2 linked regions of the Nothobranchius furzeri genome follow. The protein of the gene in region 1 purifies or fractionates together with the protein of each later gene. This does not show direct contact. Links are inferred from orthologs where the notes say so. Each region holds a gene or a part of one and is shown in the gene's direction. Other genes may lie near its edges.

The links. The genes of interacting proteins can lie anywhere in the genome.
Region 2: the proteins of nup160 (region 1) and seh1l fractionate together in Homo sapiens (co-fractionation; 3 studies listed by BioGRID and IntAct, with this or other methods). This does not show direct contact. The link is inferred for Nothobranchius furzeri from reciprocal best matches to the Homo sapiens genes NUP160 and SEH1L.

The regions. Positions count from the first base shown.
Region 1 is NC_091744.1:79,815,285-79,823,339, reverse strand, and holds part of nup160 (nuclear pore complex protein Nup160), read left to right. Parts: intron 1-90; coding exon 91-160; intron 161-315; coding exon 316-414; intron 415-494; coding exon 495-614; intron 615-3,972; coding exon 3,973-4,068; intron 4,069-4,155; coding exon 4,156-4,250; intron 4,251-6,331; coding exon 6,332-6,428; intron 6,429-7,771; coding exon 7,772-7,877; intron 7,878-7,955; coding exon 7,956-8,055. UniProt on the Homo sapiens protein: Functions as a component of the nuclear pore complex (NPC). Involved in poly(A)+ RNA transport.
Region 2 is NC_091745.1:49,013,419-49,018,844, reverse strand, and holds the end of seh1l (nucleoporin SEH1), read left to right. Parts: intron 1-1,687; coding exon 1,688-1,841; intron 1,842-2,947; coding exon of another isoform or gene 2,948-3,029; exon of another isoform or gene 3,030-3,258; intron 3,259-3,806; coding exon 3,807-3,993; 3' UTR 3,994-4,504; downstream 4,505-5,426. UniProt on the Homo sapiens protein: Component of the Nup107-160 subcomplex of the nuclear pore complex (NPC). The Nup107-160 subcomplex is required for the assembly of a functional NPC.

The DNA.
Region 1 (8,055 bases):
ATGAAACTATGTCCTCATAACTCACAGGTTCATCTGAAAGCTGTTAAGTTTCTTCAGCTCTGTGTGTTTGTCTTAACCGATGTTTCCCAGTTGGCCCAGTAACCCTGGTTTCCAGTTTCTGGAGTGCCTGGTGGCTAATTGTCAGTTCACACAGCTGCAGGTGAGTCTTTTCTTACTAGTGTGGACTTCTAACCCAACAGAACCAGATGTAGTGGAGCAGGTGACCAAACAGCTGGGCATCTGTCCTCTTGTCATCCACATGTCTGTTTAAACCTTCATGTAAGTAGCTTGAGAGCGAGTGTCTCACCTGTGCAGGAGTACATGCGGCTGATTGGCCCGTGGTGTCAGGTGAACATCGGCTCGTGTCGTTTTGTGCTGGGTCAGTGCCACCTAGCTAACGGGGAAGGCCAGAAGGTAAGTAAACGTTCTTCTGTACACCTTACCTGTAGCAAGCTCACAGGACTCACTGTGACATCATTTCCTGTTTGCACCAGGCTCTACAGTGTTTTCAGGAAGCGGCATCAGAGGTGGAGCGGGAGGCGTTTCTGATGAAGCTGACGAGCTGTGGGGATGAAGAGGCTGCTTCCAGCCCCAGATTACAGTACTACAACAAGGTAAGGCAGCAGTAGTGGTGTGACATCACCAATGTAAGTAAGTAAACTTTATTTATATAGCACTTAATGTTAGGTAATTTTATCTCCCATCCAGGATTACCTTAGGGAAAGTTCAACACGCAGGGGTTATAATAATCAGCTGATCAAAACCATATACCAATAATCGACCAACAAAACAATTTAGACTTTGCAAAGTGGAGAATGAAATGCACACCACACAGAGGTCCGATACTTCACTCTCATCAAAGTCCTCCAAGAGTATTTATTAAGCAGACACACGGAAAGATACAACGCACACACATTTACACACACATTTGAGGTTCTCACAGACTCAGGCGAGAAGGCACACCAGGTGCAATTTCTAAAACAGAGCTGTCTGGACTTCTCAAGGGAGTTCTACTGATAAGGGGGACCAGCCCCAGCACCAAGTCTGGTACCGAGAGCAAGGTCAGTCCTCCCAGTTAGAGCTTACAAAAGCCTGTCTGTTCCCAGAGAAATAGAAATAGATGAACCTTCGTTTAAAACCCCCAGAGATCAAACCATTGAAGACATTATTAACAGTAATATCAGTTTTTATCCAACACTTATCACAGACATAGAATCACAAAGTGCTTCACTTAGATCAAAATAAAACAGTCATAAAATCATAATGATCTCAAAACAGAAATGGATAAACATCAGAAAAAGTCATAAAATTATTAAATTTCATAAACAGATAAGATTTTACAAATTTAAGATTAAAAGAATAAAATTAAAGATTAATGTAAAAGCTGCTTTAAATGAAAGGGTTTTAATAGTGTCGAGACTGTCAATGCTACGTGAGGATAAAGGAAGATCCTTCCAAAGTCGGGGTGCAACAGTCTGGAAAGAGCGATCACCTGGACTTTATATCTGGTCTTTGGAACTTCTAGAAGGTTTTGGTGTGTGGACCTGAAAGCTCGGTTTGGAGCATAAGGCTTTAACAGTTCAGTAATATAGGGAGGAGCTTGACCATGTAGAGCATTGAAAGTTATAATCAGGATTCTAAAATGAACTCTAAAGTTAACGGGTAACCAGTGCAGAGACATTAAAATAGGAGTGATGTGTGCTCTTCGGTTTGCTCCAGTTAGGAGCCTCGCTGCAGAGTTCTGGACCAACTGAAGGCGGTCAAGGGCTTTTTTGTTAAAACATGAAGAGTGTGTTACAGAACTCTAAACGGGAGGAGATAAAGGCATCGATAACTGTTTCAAGTTCATGTTTTGACACCATCCTTGGTCAAAAACACCCAAATTCCTCAAGCTCGTCTTGACGACAGAGGATAAATGACCAAGCTTTAGACTAATCAGGGGAACCATGCTCTAAGGGGCAATGATCAGATATTCGGTCTTTTCAGAGTTTAACTGGAGGAAGTTATCTTCTAGCCCAGGGGTGTCAAAGATGCGGCCCGCGGGCCGGATCCGGCCCGCAAGCAGTTTAAATCCGGCCCGCGAGATGGTTGTGTAAACTATATTTTCATACTTTACAATGTAGAGTGAAAATAAACTTATCTTTGTGAGCAAGTTTCCTCTGTAATGAGTATAAATAAAACAAAGCTGCGCTCAAGGCTCACACAAGAACTTGAATCACATCCTGAAGTTGGCCGCCACTCAGGATGTGACTTCTGATGTTGATGTGCTGGTGAAAGCTAAAAGATGTAAAGTAAAATGAGTCAAATATACTTTAAGTGGTGCTTGAAACTGATCTAGCCATGTGATCTGTAAGCTCTTTGAATCACTAAGGAATGTTTATTTTATTTATTGATTTTTTTTAGTATTTTCAAATTTTCAAGTACACTTCAGGTGTTGTACTTGTACTATTTTGGATACACTGTCCTCAGGCTCCAGCCTTGCTTTATATTGTTTGTATTAAAACAAAGAAAACAATCTGAAGTTTTTTTTTTATTTACCGGTCCGGCCCACTTGGGACTAGATTTCCCTCAATGTGGCCCCTGAGCTAAAATGAGTTTGACACCCCTGTTCTAGCCAGCTGGTGATCGCTGATAGACACTCTAGTAATTCACAGTTTATAAAACTCAGAATCCTTAAAGGAGCAGTACAGCTGAATATCATCTGCATATAGGTGATAAAAGACATTATGAAAAGGATCATTTATTTGTCCAAGAGGGTGTATGTACAGTAGAAACAACAGTGGACCCAAAACAGAGCCTTGGGGTACCCCACAGAACAGATGGGTAGAATCTGACATGATTTGGTTTATGCAGACAATGTAACTTCTGTTAGAAAGGTACGATCAAACTCAATCTGTTGAGTCTACAATACTCTTTGTGTAGACACCCCCAGCAGATCCAGACTGTCAGAAGTCGGGGTAGACATCTACCTCAAGGTATCCGGGGCCCGTACATTAGCTCCGATACGACTCGTCTAGTCTTGAGATATATCCAGGTCAAAACAGTATGCTGGAATGCTTGCTTGCGTCCAAGGTTGATGTTTGGCTACTGAAAGAGCCGATTGGGCTGTGTCAGCTTGCAGCGTGCAAAGAGGCTTTGACTGGAGGTCAAAGGAGATGGTTTCAAAAGAGGCTTCTTTCCCAATTTGGCCAAGTCGGGAGTCAGCTGGAAACTGAATTAATCAGGAAGTAATTCTTGTTTTAATGAACTCATTGTTTATAATTTTAGGCAAATCGGGATTCGACTTGTTTGAGGATTTTACCAAACATCCCTTCTTTAGATACAAAGGTGTTTAACACTTTGTGAATGAGAATGTTTTAAAACACTTATGTGAGGTGAATATTACATTAATGAGTATCTTATTGTAATGTGTATGAGTGTAGATAATGAATAACTTGTTAAATCAAACTCATACTGATCTGGTGTAGATAAGATCTGAAATGGATCATTATAGGACCAATATTCATTTTAAATTAGTTGATTTAAGCACAGATTATTCAAACATTTGATCTAAACATCTTATTCATTCAACACATATGATTATTTAGACTTTAAAGCTGTAAAGTTATTTATAATTCCCTTTGGTACATTAAACAGTCGAACCTTGAGTAAACTGGCATTAGAGGGGCGTGAGGTGAAACAATATGGTTTATGGTGTCAAGCAGGACTTTAGAGTTATTTTGTTTACAGCAATCAGCTGAGCAAAGTAAGTGGCCCAGAGATTATTTCACTGTCTCGTTCAGAGATGTTATCCATTCTTTAAAGTGCAGCCTGTGACTTTCTAATCTAGTTAACGTCCAACTTCTCTGCGGCATGTCCTTCAGAGTCTGTTAATGTTTTGATTAATCCAAGGACTTTTCCTCTTGCTAGAAAAGGTGATCTGCTTAATGTGTGTGACTGCCCTGCTTACCTGTGTAACATCACTGTGTGCAGGTGTTGCGGCTGCTGGAGGACATGGGTCTACCTGAGTTTGTCATCCAGCTCGCCTCTCTGGCCTTATCAGAAGCAGCTGGTGATGCCCACAGTCAGGTAGGGGACGGTGGCCTGTTGTACTGTTTTGTTCCTGTTAGTGCAGATCAGTAAGTGTGTGTGTGTGTGTGTGTGTGTTTTTTTCAGGCAGCTCTGTGGACCAAGATATTCAAGCATCACCTGGATCTGGGTCACAACAGTGAAGCTTACGAAGCTCTGACCCAAAACCCAGACAGCAGCATGTACGTGCGCACGCACGCATGCACACACACACACACACACACACACACACACACACACATACACACACACGTGATTTAGCATTCGAACTGAGAAGGAAAGGGGGGTATCTTTTGTGCAGCTGAGTCTCATTACAGCTGCTCCTGCTCCTGCCAGGTTATGGTTCGTCTGACGTAGGACTGGACAAAATATAGATATTTTTTAAAATATTGATGTAATTTCAAACAAGAAACAAGTGGACTTTATATTGATATAACCAATCCAGTAGCTATGCTAGCCACTAGCTTGCTCCGTCTAAGCGGTCATTACATGTACTCACAAGTCTGCTAAATCAGAAAACTTCTGGGTCAATGTTCTGCCTCAAACGTTGCATTTGGCTTCCTGGTTTTTAATTACTTGGGAAGTCCGTTCAGGTTTCAGCGAGCCTTTTCATCGTGGCTGCCAAAGGAGCTCTGATTATACTGCTTTTGGAAAGACCAGCCAAAGCCCTCCCCCGTGTAATCATGAAACGGCTACGGAGAGCCGGAGTGACCAAATGACCTCAAACATGTTCTAACGGTTAGAATAGGCAATGTTGGGGTTAACGTTTTATTTTGAAGGTGAGTTCAGTGGGCGGGAGAGGTTGTTCTGGTTTTTGCCGCTTTGCTATGCTAGGAAATGCTCCGTTACGAGCAATTCTGTTGAAAAAGTTAAGAGTTTGTAAGGCATGTGTTGCTGCCGACAGTAGATCGAAAATAATACCCAGAAGGGCAACCAGAGAGTCTGAGTTACATTATGATCGCTGATATGAGCTGTTAGATTCCTGCCATGTTTGACACTGAGACATAAAGGGCTTCCACATTAGCATCAGCTCTACTCTGCCTGGACCAGGTACAGAGTGTTCTTGAATTTTCCCGCGTGCGACGGGTAGTTTTTTAGCCCTCTTCCCAAGTCAGTCTGCTATGGGCTGAACTAGTTGATCACACCCCCTGCTCACTGATTGGCCAGTTCAAATTCATGACTCCTATTGAAGGGACCCTCCCAAATGGTGGGTAGAATCAGCCAGTAGGGTCTTTCCGCATCCACATTTCTACATTATCAGCAGAGGGCAACACCGTCCGCTGCTGCCCGCTGATAAACGGAAACGGTATTCCACTAGGTAGGTTATTCATAGAACGGCCGTGTTCACCATTTAGGGGAAAATAAAGTTGGCAGTCATCAGCAAACAAATGCTACGGAAGATATCCCCCAGCAGAAGAATGTAAATCAGAAACAGCTGCGGTCCTAGCACAGAACCCTGGAGAACACCCCAGGGAAGATGTGAAGAGGCAGACGAGAAACCACTCATTCTGATGTCGTTTTGTTTTCAAGGGATGATCTAAACCACTCCAGGGCCAAACCTGAAACACCCATTTATTGTCCAAGACAGTCGATTAGCACATCATGATCCACTGTGTCTAAAGCAGCGGACAAAATGACTCTCACCAGTGCTGTCTCGGCACCATGCAGCACTTTGAAGCCTGATTGAAAAGTTTCCAACAGCTCATTTTCATTTAAGGAGTCAATTAATCAAATGTATACACATTTATCCAGTAATTTGCTCAAGAAAAGGAGCTTGGAAAGTAAGTCTAAATTTAACTGGATGTGAGGCACTTAACCCAGGGTTTTTCAGAAGAGAATAATTCATATTCTCCTTAAAGTCATCAGGGACAGATCCAGAAGATGAACTCAGGTTAATAGTCTGAGCTATTACTGGAGCAACGGCCAATAAAAGCAGCTGTGGCTACAATGCAGCTCATCACCACCAGTGTCCATGGATGAATGTTAAGCACCTAGGAGCGTTCTAGGACTCTCGCTTTCTGCTTTAGCTACAGAGAAATGTGTTTCAGCTTAGGACATTTTCCATCTGTGCACCAAGACCAACCGACCAGTGGGAGCTGCCTGGTCTGACTCGACAGCAACATCCTAATCTTGGTGTGGGGATGTCTCCAAGAAGACCCCGAATTCTCCAGCTGCAAACGGACAGATTCTCACACATCTGATCTGTAAATATTCAGACTGATCCTCCGGTGATGTTTCAGCTGAATGCTTGTTTGTGTTCCAGGCAGCTGGATTGTCTTCGCCAGCTGGTGGTGGTTCTGTGTGAACGCTCTCAGCTGCAGGATTTAGTCCAGTTTCCCTACGTCCACCTGCATGATGAGGTGAGCCCTGACTGAAAATCTTTTATTTCCTGCAGTTGTTCATCGTATGGCATCTTTACCTTTACCATGATATCTTTACCATTACCATAGTATATTTACCTTTACATTACATTACCATGACCATGGTATCTTTACCTTTACCATTACATTACTGTGGTATATTTACCATTACCATGGTACCTTTTCCTTTCCCATGGTATCTTTACCATTACCATAATATCTTTACCTTTACCGTGGTATCTTTACCTTACATTACCATTATCATGGTATCTTTACCATTACCATAATATCTTTACCTTTACCGTGGTATCTTTACCTTACATTACCATTATCATGGTATCTTTACCATTACCATAATATCTTTACCTTTACCGTGGTATCTTTACCTTACATTACCATTATCATGGTATCTTTACCATTACCACAGTACCTTTACCGTTACCATGGTATCTTTATGTATCGGAAACAGTCCAAACACACTTGTAACCTATGCATGTTATTGTTTGTCTGTAAATGGGTCCATGTGGAAGTTCTGACTGGTCGGTATAAAGGCTCCACCTCTGAGGCAGGTCTGGAGCTGATCACCACTGGGCCTGATGGGGAGCTGGGGCGTAGTGCTTGGGTGGATATCTTTAACCCTAACGGTTTCATTAGATCGATAGGCAGATTGATTGGTGCTGTGTCTGCAGTGATGCGGGCGTTGTACCGGCCTGTCGTGGTGAAGAGAGAGCTGAGTCAGAAGGCAAAGCTCTCGATTTACCGGTGGATCTACGTTCCTACCCTCACCTATGGTCATGAGCTTTGGGTAGTGACCGATAGAATGAGTTCGCGGATACAAGCGGCCGAAATGAGTTTTCTCCAAAGAGTGGCTGGGCTCTCCCTTAGAGATAGGGTGAGAAGCTCGGTCATTCGGGAGGGGCTCGGAGTAGACCTGCTGCTCCTCCAGATCGAGAGGAGCCAGTTGAGGTGGCTCGGGCATCTGGTTAGGATGCCTCCTGGACGCCTCCCTGGTGAGGTTTTCTGGGCACGTCCAACTGGGAGGAGACCTAAAGTAGACCCAGGACACGGTGGAGGGACTATGTCTCTCACCGGACCAGGGAACACCTTGGGATTCCCCCGGAGGAGCTGGCCCAAGTGGCTGGGGAGAGGGAAGTCTGGGCCTCTCGCCTTAGGCTGCTGCCCCCGCGACCCGACTCCGGATAATCGGATGAAAATGGATGGCTGGATGGGTTTCATTCATCCACAGTCTGGCAAAGCCTGAACAGATTTTCTTCTCTGCAGTTGTTTTGTTGCATGTGTTTATTTCTAAAAATGTAATATTTACCTTCTCACGGGACCTTCAGGTAGTCAGCATCATCGAGTCCCGTGCTCGTAGTTTGGATCTGCTGACCCACAATTACTACGAGCTTCTGTACGCCTTCCACATTACCCGACACAACTACAGGAAAGGTGCCAAAGCAAACATGCAAATTCCACCTAATTATACGTGTGTGCGACTGCATAGTGTGTGTATCCGTGTTCACTCAGCGGGGACCGTCATGTTTGAGTTTGGGATGCGTCTGGGCCGGGAGATTCGTACGCAGCTTGGCCTTCAGAAACAGGTGAACTGTTACCTGGCTGCTCTTAA
Region 2 (5,426 bases), on another chromosome or scaffold:
TTTTCCACCTTGTTTGTTTGATTTTAAATTTGTGTTTTTATATTCTGGCTTTACTTGTTCTGTTGGTTTTAACTCTTATCTTTTTTTACTTCATATGATATACACGACTATTTTAGCTTGTGTTTTTTACAGGGTATCCGCGGGTCCTTAAAAAGTCTTAAAAAGCCTTAAATTAGCTTTTCCAAATTTAAGGCCTTAAAAATCCTTAAAAATGACAAATAATCCTTAAATACAGTTTCCAGAGGTCTTAAAAGACCCAATAAACAAAATTCTTTTATTTCTATAAACTTTTCGTGAATTTCTAGTTGGTGTTTAGCGTTTTTTGTGTACGTTGTTGGCGTAAGCGGAACCGTACACATTCAGTTGGTTGTGAAAGGGGGCTATTTTTAGATGAGCACATTAGCTGGTTAAGCTAGTGGGAGCTTGCGCCATGGGGAAGTTTAATGGTAACTGGATGGCTAATCCCACGATCATGGCGTGGTTAGCACCGGTTCCAGGCAACAGCTGGAAATTATAGCTTAAATGATAAATGACCCGCACTTGTATAGCGCCTCTCAGAGTAAGGACTCCAAAGCGCTTTACACTACAGTGTATCATTCATCCATTCACACACACATCCACACACTGGTGGGGATGAGCCATGATGTTGCCACAGCTGGCCTGGGGCGCACTTACAGAGGCGAGGCTGCCGAGAACAGGCGCCACCGGTCCCTCCGACCACCACCAGCAGGCAAGGTGGGTTAAGTGTCTTGCCCAAGGACTCAACAGCAGAATTCTCTGTCCGGAGCCGGGATCGAACCTGCAACCTTCCGATTACTGGACAACCCGCTCAACCTGTTGAGCTACTGCTGCCCTGCTTAAATATCTTAAATTTGGTCAAAGTGGCCTCAAAAAAGGTCTTAAAAAGTCTTAAATTTGGCTCTCTTAAACCTGCAGATACCCTGTTTTATTCATTTGTTTTTATGTGCAGCGCTTTGGTCGGTTGTAATGCTGCGTTAAAAGCGCTCTACAAATAAAGTGGTATGGTACCGAGAGGTAGCTTCTGCAGCCCATGGGAAGGGGGACCCACGTTTCCTCTTCAGGCTGTGCCCAGCTGGGTTTCCTGGGTGACAGCCCAGCCGCCAGGGGCTCTTTAACCTGCCCCACTTGCAGACCTGGCTCCAGAGGGGCCCCTGGTGACCCGCGTCTGGGTGAGGGAACACTGTGACTCCCTCGTTCCGCTGGCCTGATGATAGACTTTGTTGTTGTTTCATCTGCCGCATGTCTTGGACACTCGGGTGAAGAGAGGGGTGGAGCTGTCAACTGACCCCTGCATGGTGGTGAGTTGGCTTCGATGGTGGGGGGAGGATGCCGGTCAGACCTGGCAAGCTTAAACGTATTGTGAGGGTCTGCTGGGAACGTCTGGCAGAGTCTGGTTAAAGGTTAAACCTGCAATAAAAGCCCACTAGAGGGCAGTATATAGTTGTCCTCTGAAAGTGATCAGGGAAAGTACTCGGCAGTCGGCCTGAATCTGTGGTCTCCGGGTCTGCAGCGATACCCTTCTCAAAGTGTGCTGAAACCAGAATCCCTTGCAGCTGTTGGTGTTTCAGTCCTGGACAACAAGGCTCCGAGTCGAGGCCTTGCCTCATTGCTTTTCCTCCATTCTGAAGATGAACAAACACTGATGTCACTTCCTGTCTTTGAGCAGCTAACTACATGGACAACTGGAAGTGCACCGGCATCCTGAAGGGGGACGGCAGCCCGTTGACAGGTTCGTCTGGTCAACCCAGCGCCATGAGCACCGTGGTGGGCTCCTCCATCCAGACCTCCCAGAATGCCCTGAACGGGATGTCAGCAGGAAGGTAGGTGGTGTCGTGTGCCTGACGCCACTCACCCCGTCCCAGATGAAACCGTCACAACTGACAACTTCCCTGCCCCTCACACTGACTGGGAGTGCAGCCGCCCACTGACAAAGCTGTTGGACTCACACTGACCCGGTGCAAAGAGCTTGGCTTCTGTCCTCCAGCTGCAGGTTGTGTGTGTGGAGCGGGAGGTGTTTTTCTGCTTATGCATGTCAAAAGAGATGTCTCCACTTACCTAATGTAAGGACTGACCTTGTGTCTGATTTTGGATATGAATGTTGATATGTAGTTATTTTAGGAGATTCAGCAGAGCCGTTGTATTGTTAGGGAGCCTCGCTGGGACGGGCGGTTTCATCTCCACGTCCCGGTGCACCAGCAGCAAAGTGATTCAAAACTCATGTTTCAGAGTCGGAGAAACGCCAAACTCTTTGCTGAGCAGATCGAAACCATTAACCAACCCTGATCCATGAATGTGAGGATGAATACAGCCGTCAGAGTCAGAACTGTCTGTCTTAAACAAAGCTCCTGTTTTAGGAAGTACTGTATGCATTTATGGATTTTCTATAATCTAAATGTAACCATAAAGGGAAAATAACATGGCCATCTGATTGGTTAAGAAGTTTGTGGTTTCAGGTTTGGTCGGCGTTGATGTGAGGCTGTATTCATCTTCTGTTGTATTCATCAGCCTTAGATTCTGTGGGATATTTCAGTCACTGTGAATGAATTTTGAGTGTAATTGTGAGAAAACTTCCAGCTGCTGTAGATTACTTCCTGAATGCCCTCTGTTTGGAGAAATAAGACCAGCTGCCTGTTTAGACAGGTTTGACTTTTTCGTTAAAGCCATCTACAGCGTGGTAATCATTTCTAACTTTTACACTAAAACACATTTAAAATGGCTGAATTATCTCTTGAACATATAATCAAGCTGTTATGTTGTTCCTGTTCCTAATCTGAGTAACAAATGTGTGTAGTATATAACAACTCCTACGACCAGCTGTTTGCATAACTTTGACCACGTCTACCATTCCAGATACACGTTGATTAAAAACAAATGTGAAGTGAGTTTGTTGAAGTTAATTTACTATTTTATTGCTTGTTGCATGCAGGATTGCCAAAAGAGCTTCCTTTGCTCCTCCCCTGCGGCAGCTGACCTCTCCAAAGATAAACCAGAGTCCTGCATATTACTAATGTCTCGTGCACGCCACCGCCTGCTCCCCGTGGCTGTTTGAGACTAGTCCCACCGAAGCACATTTCATAGCTGATAACTTGTTGAAGTTTGGATTTTTGGCATGAAACCTTGGTGCGTGTACCTCACAACCTCATGTCGCAGAGGTTTACTGCTGTGGGGCAATGAAGAAGAAAAGATTTTTTCTACAGCGCCTCTCAAGATAAAAATCACAAGGCGCTTCACAAAAAAAACATGTAAAATATAAAAAAGAATTTAGAAAATGATTAAAAATATATTTAAAATGAGCAAAAAAATTGACAATTGTGATTAAAAATGTAAAGAAAGAGAGAGTGAATAGGAAAGGGGGAAATCAGTGGATCCTGAGGAAGGTGGAATAGGTGGGGAGAGCAGAATAAGGAGAGGGTGATGAAGGTCACACCAAAGCCTGAACAGCTGCTTTTTAAAGGAGACCACTGAGTCCACTGATCTCAGGCTCAGGGGGAGAGAGTTCCAGAGTCTAGGGGACACAGCAGCAAATGATCTGTCACCTTTGGTCTTTACCAAAGACCAAAGTGAGTGTGTGTGTGTGGTCACACTCACTCAACCCAACATTGCCTGCCTGACATTTTTTCTGAAGCATGCATGGATATTTTTCCTGTTAAATTTTCATTTCTACTTCCTTTTTATGTTTCCTTGTTTGTATTTTTGGTGTCTTCCCACCCCAAACCTTCCTCCTTTTCTATGTATCCATTGTGTTTGTCTGCTCCCCTTTTTATTTTCCTCTGATGTTACTTTAGGTATTTCTTTCCTCCTCTGGATCCTCCCAGAGCAGGGACCAGGTGTGGTCACCTGCTGCCTCCTCCCTCCCTCATAGAGCACTGCGATGCTGAGCCCGTCACTCAGCCTCAGCAACATGCTCTTCTCCCCAGACACAACTCTAGAGTGCTGCTGTCCTTACCAGAGGCTGAGGAGCAGTCGTTTTAGCTGTGTGTTCCCCTGCGTGTGTATTTAAAGTACAATTCAATAATTCAAAACTGTTTGTCCATAAATCGAAAACAAATCGGAGAACTGAATCACGCTGGACGTCATCTGACTGACTAGCAAGGCACATCATTATCCTGTTTTAAGGTTAGCAGAAATTGTGTCTACTTGCAAATAGGAAATGTATTAAAAGTGGTAGAAATTATACCAAGTGATACAGTAGAAGCATGTGGAGCAGCCCTGTGAGAATAGCACCTGATTCATCATCACACAGAATCAGGCATGTCTGAAGCCCGTTCTGGACAGAGCTGCTGTGTTCTGCGTGTCCGTTGGCTGGGGTGTGATCCACAGCCTTGTCATGAACAGCTGCTCTGCTGAATTATACTGGAGCAAGTCAACAAGTCCTAGCTTATAGCTGTTATGTAAATGCCTCATTCTGATGGAGTGTGATTAAATGATTTGGCTATTTGATTTGACACATTCTCTAAAATAAAACTTGAAATGTAAATGTGAATGAAGCTGGTTCTTTCTCCACACCGCTGTCTAACCAAGAAACTGTTGTAGCTGCAGATTATGGGTTTGCCAGTTACAGCTTTTTTCTTTACAGAGTTGCTTGTCATATTGGGGGTTTTCCAATATGAACAGCCTGTGGAAGGTCAAAGGTCAGACAGTCTCTTTCAGGAATGAATTTACAGCAAATGGGCCAGGCCCTGAAGCAGCCTGGCCCATCACTCTGCCGCTCCCGTGTCTTGACTGTGGTTGGCAGAAGACACTTTTTCTGAATAGCAGTATTGGTTTGATGCCAGCTGTAACAGGTGATCAGCTTTCAGGCGTTTTCCAGAGCATTGTGTCTGGCATCTTGGACATCCATTTTTGGCAAATGTATACATGTTCAAGTAAAAAAAAAAAGCTGCACAACCTTTTTTGTATTAAATATTTTTTAAACTTGCATTTTGATAATTAAAATGTTGTGTATGGAATCTAAAACTGAGATTATCATCACTACAAACCCAGGTTGGGATTTTTATCCAAACTTTTTCATTAAAAAAATTTTTCAGAGTGACACAAAATGTATCCAATCAAAATATATAGTTTCCTCCCTCTTCTGTTATCCTGTCCAATCACCGGCGCTCAACATTTAAGCCCCGCCTACATGATATGACGCTCACGCGGGCTTCCTGGGGGTTGTGGGCGCTGATCTTTTGTATGAAGTACGACTGAAAAAACAACTTTTGGCGACCAACGTGAAGCATGGTGGTTCTGGACCGAACAGTTGGACTTTTCGGTGAGTCTGGGCTCATTTTAAAGCCGGGGCTGGCGCTGGAGAACAGCTGTTCAAACGTCGTCCCCTTGGAGAACTGAACGTGAGTTTCACACCAACTAACGAACGTTGTTCTCTGAGATGGAGGAGTTCCTTTTGCTCGGATTTCTAACCT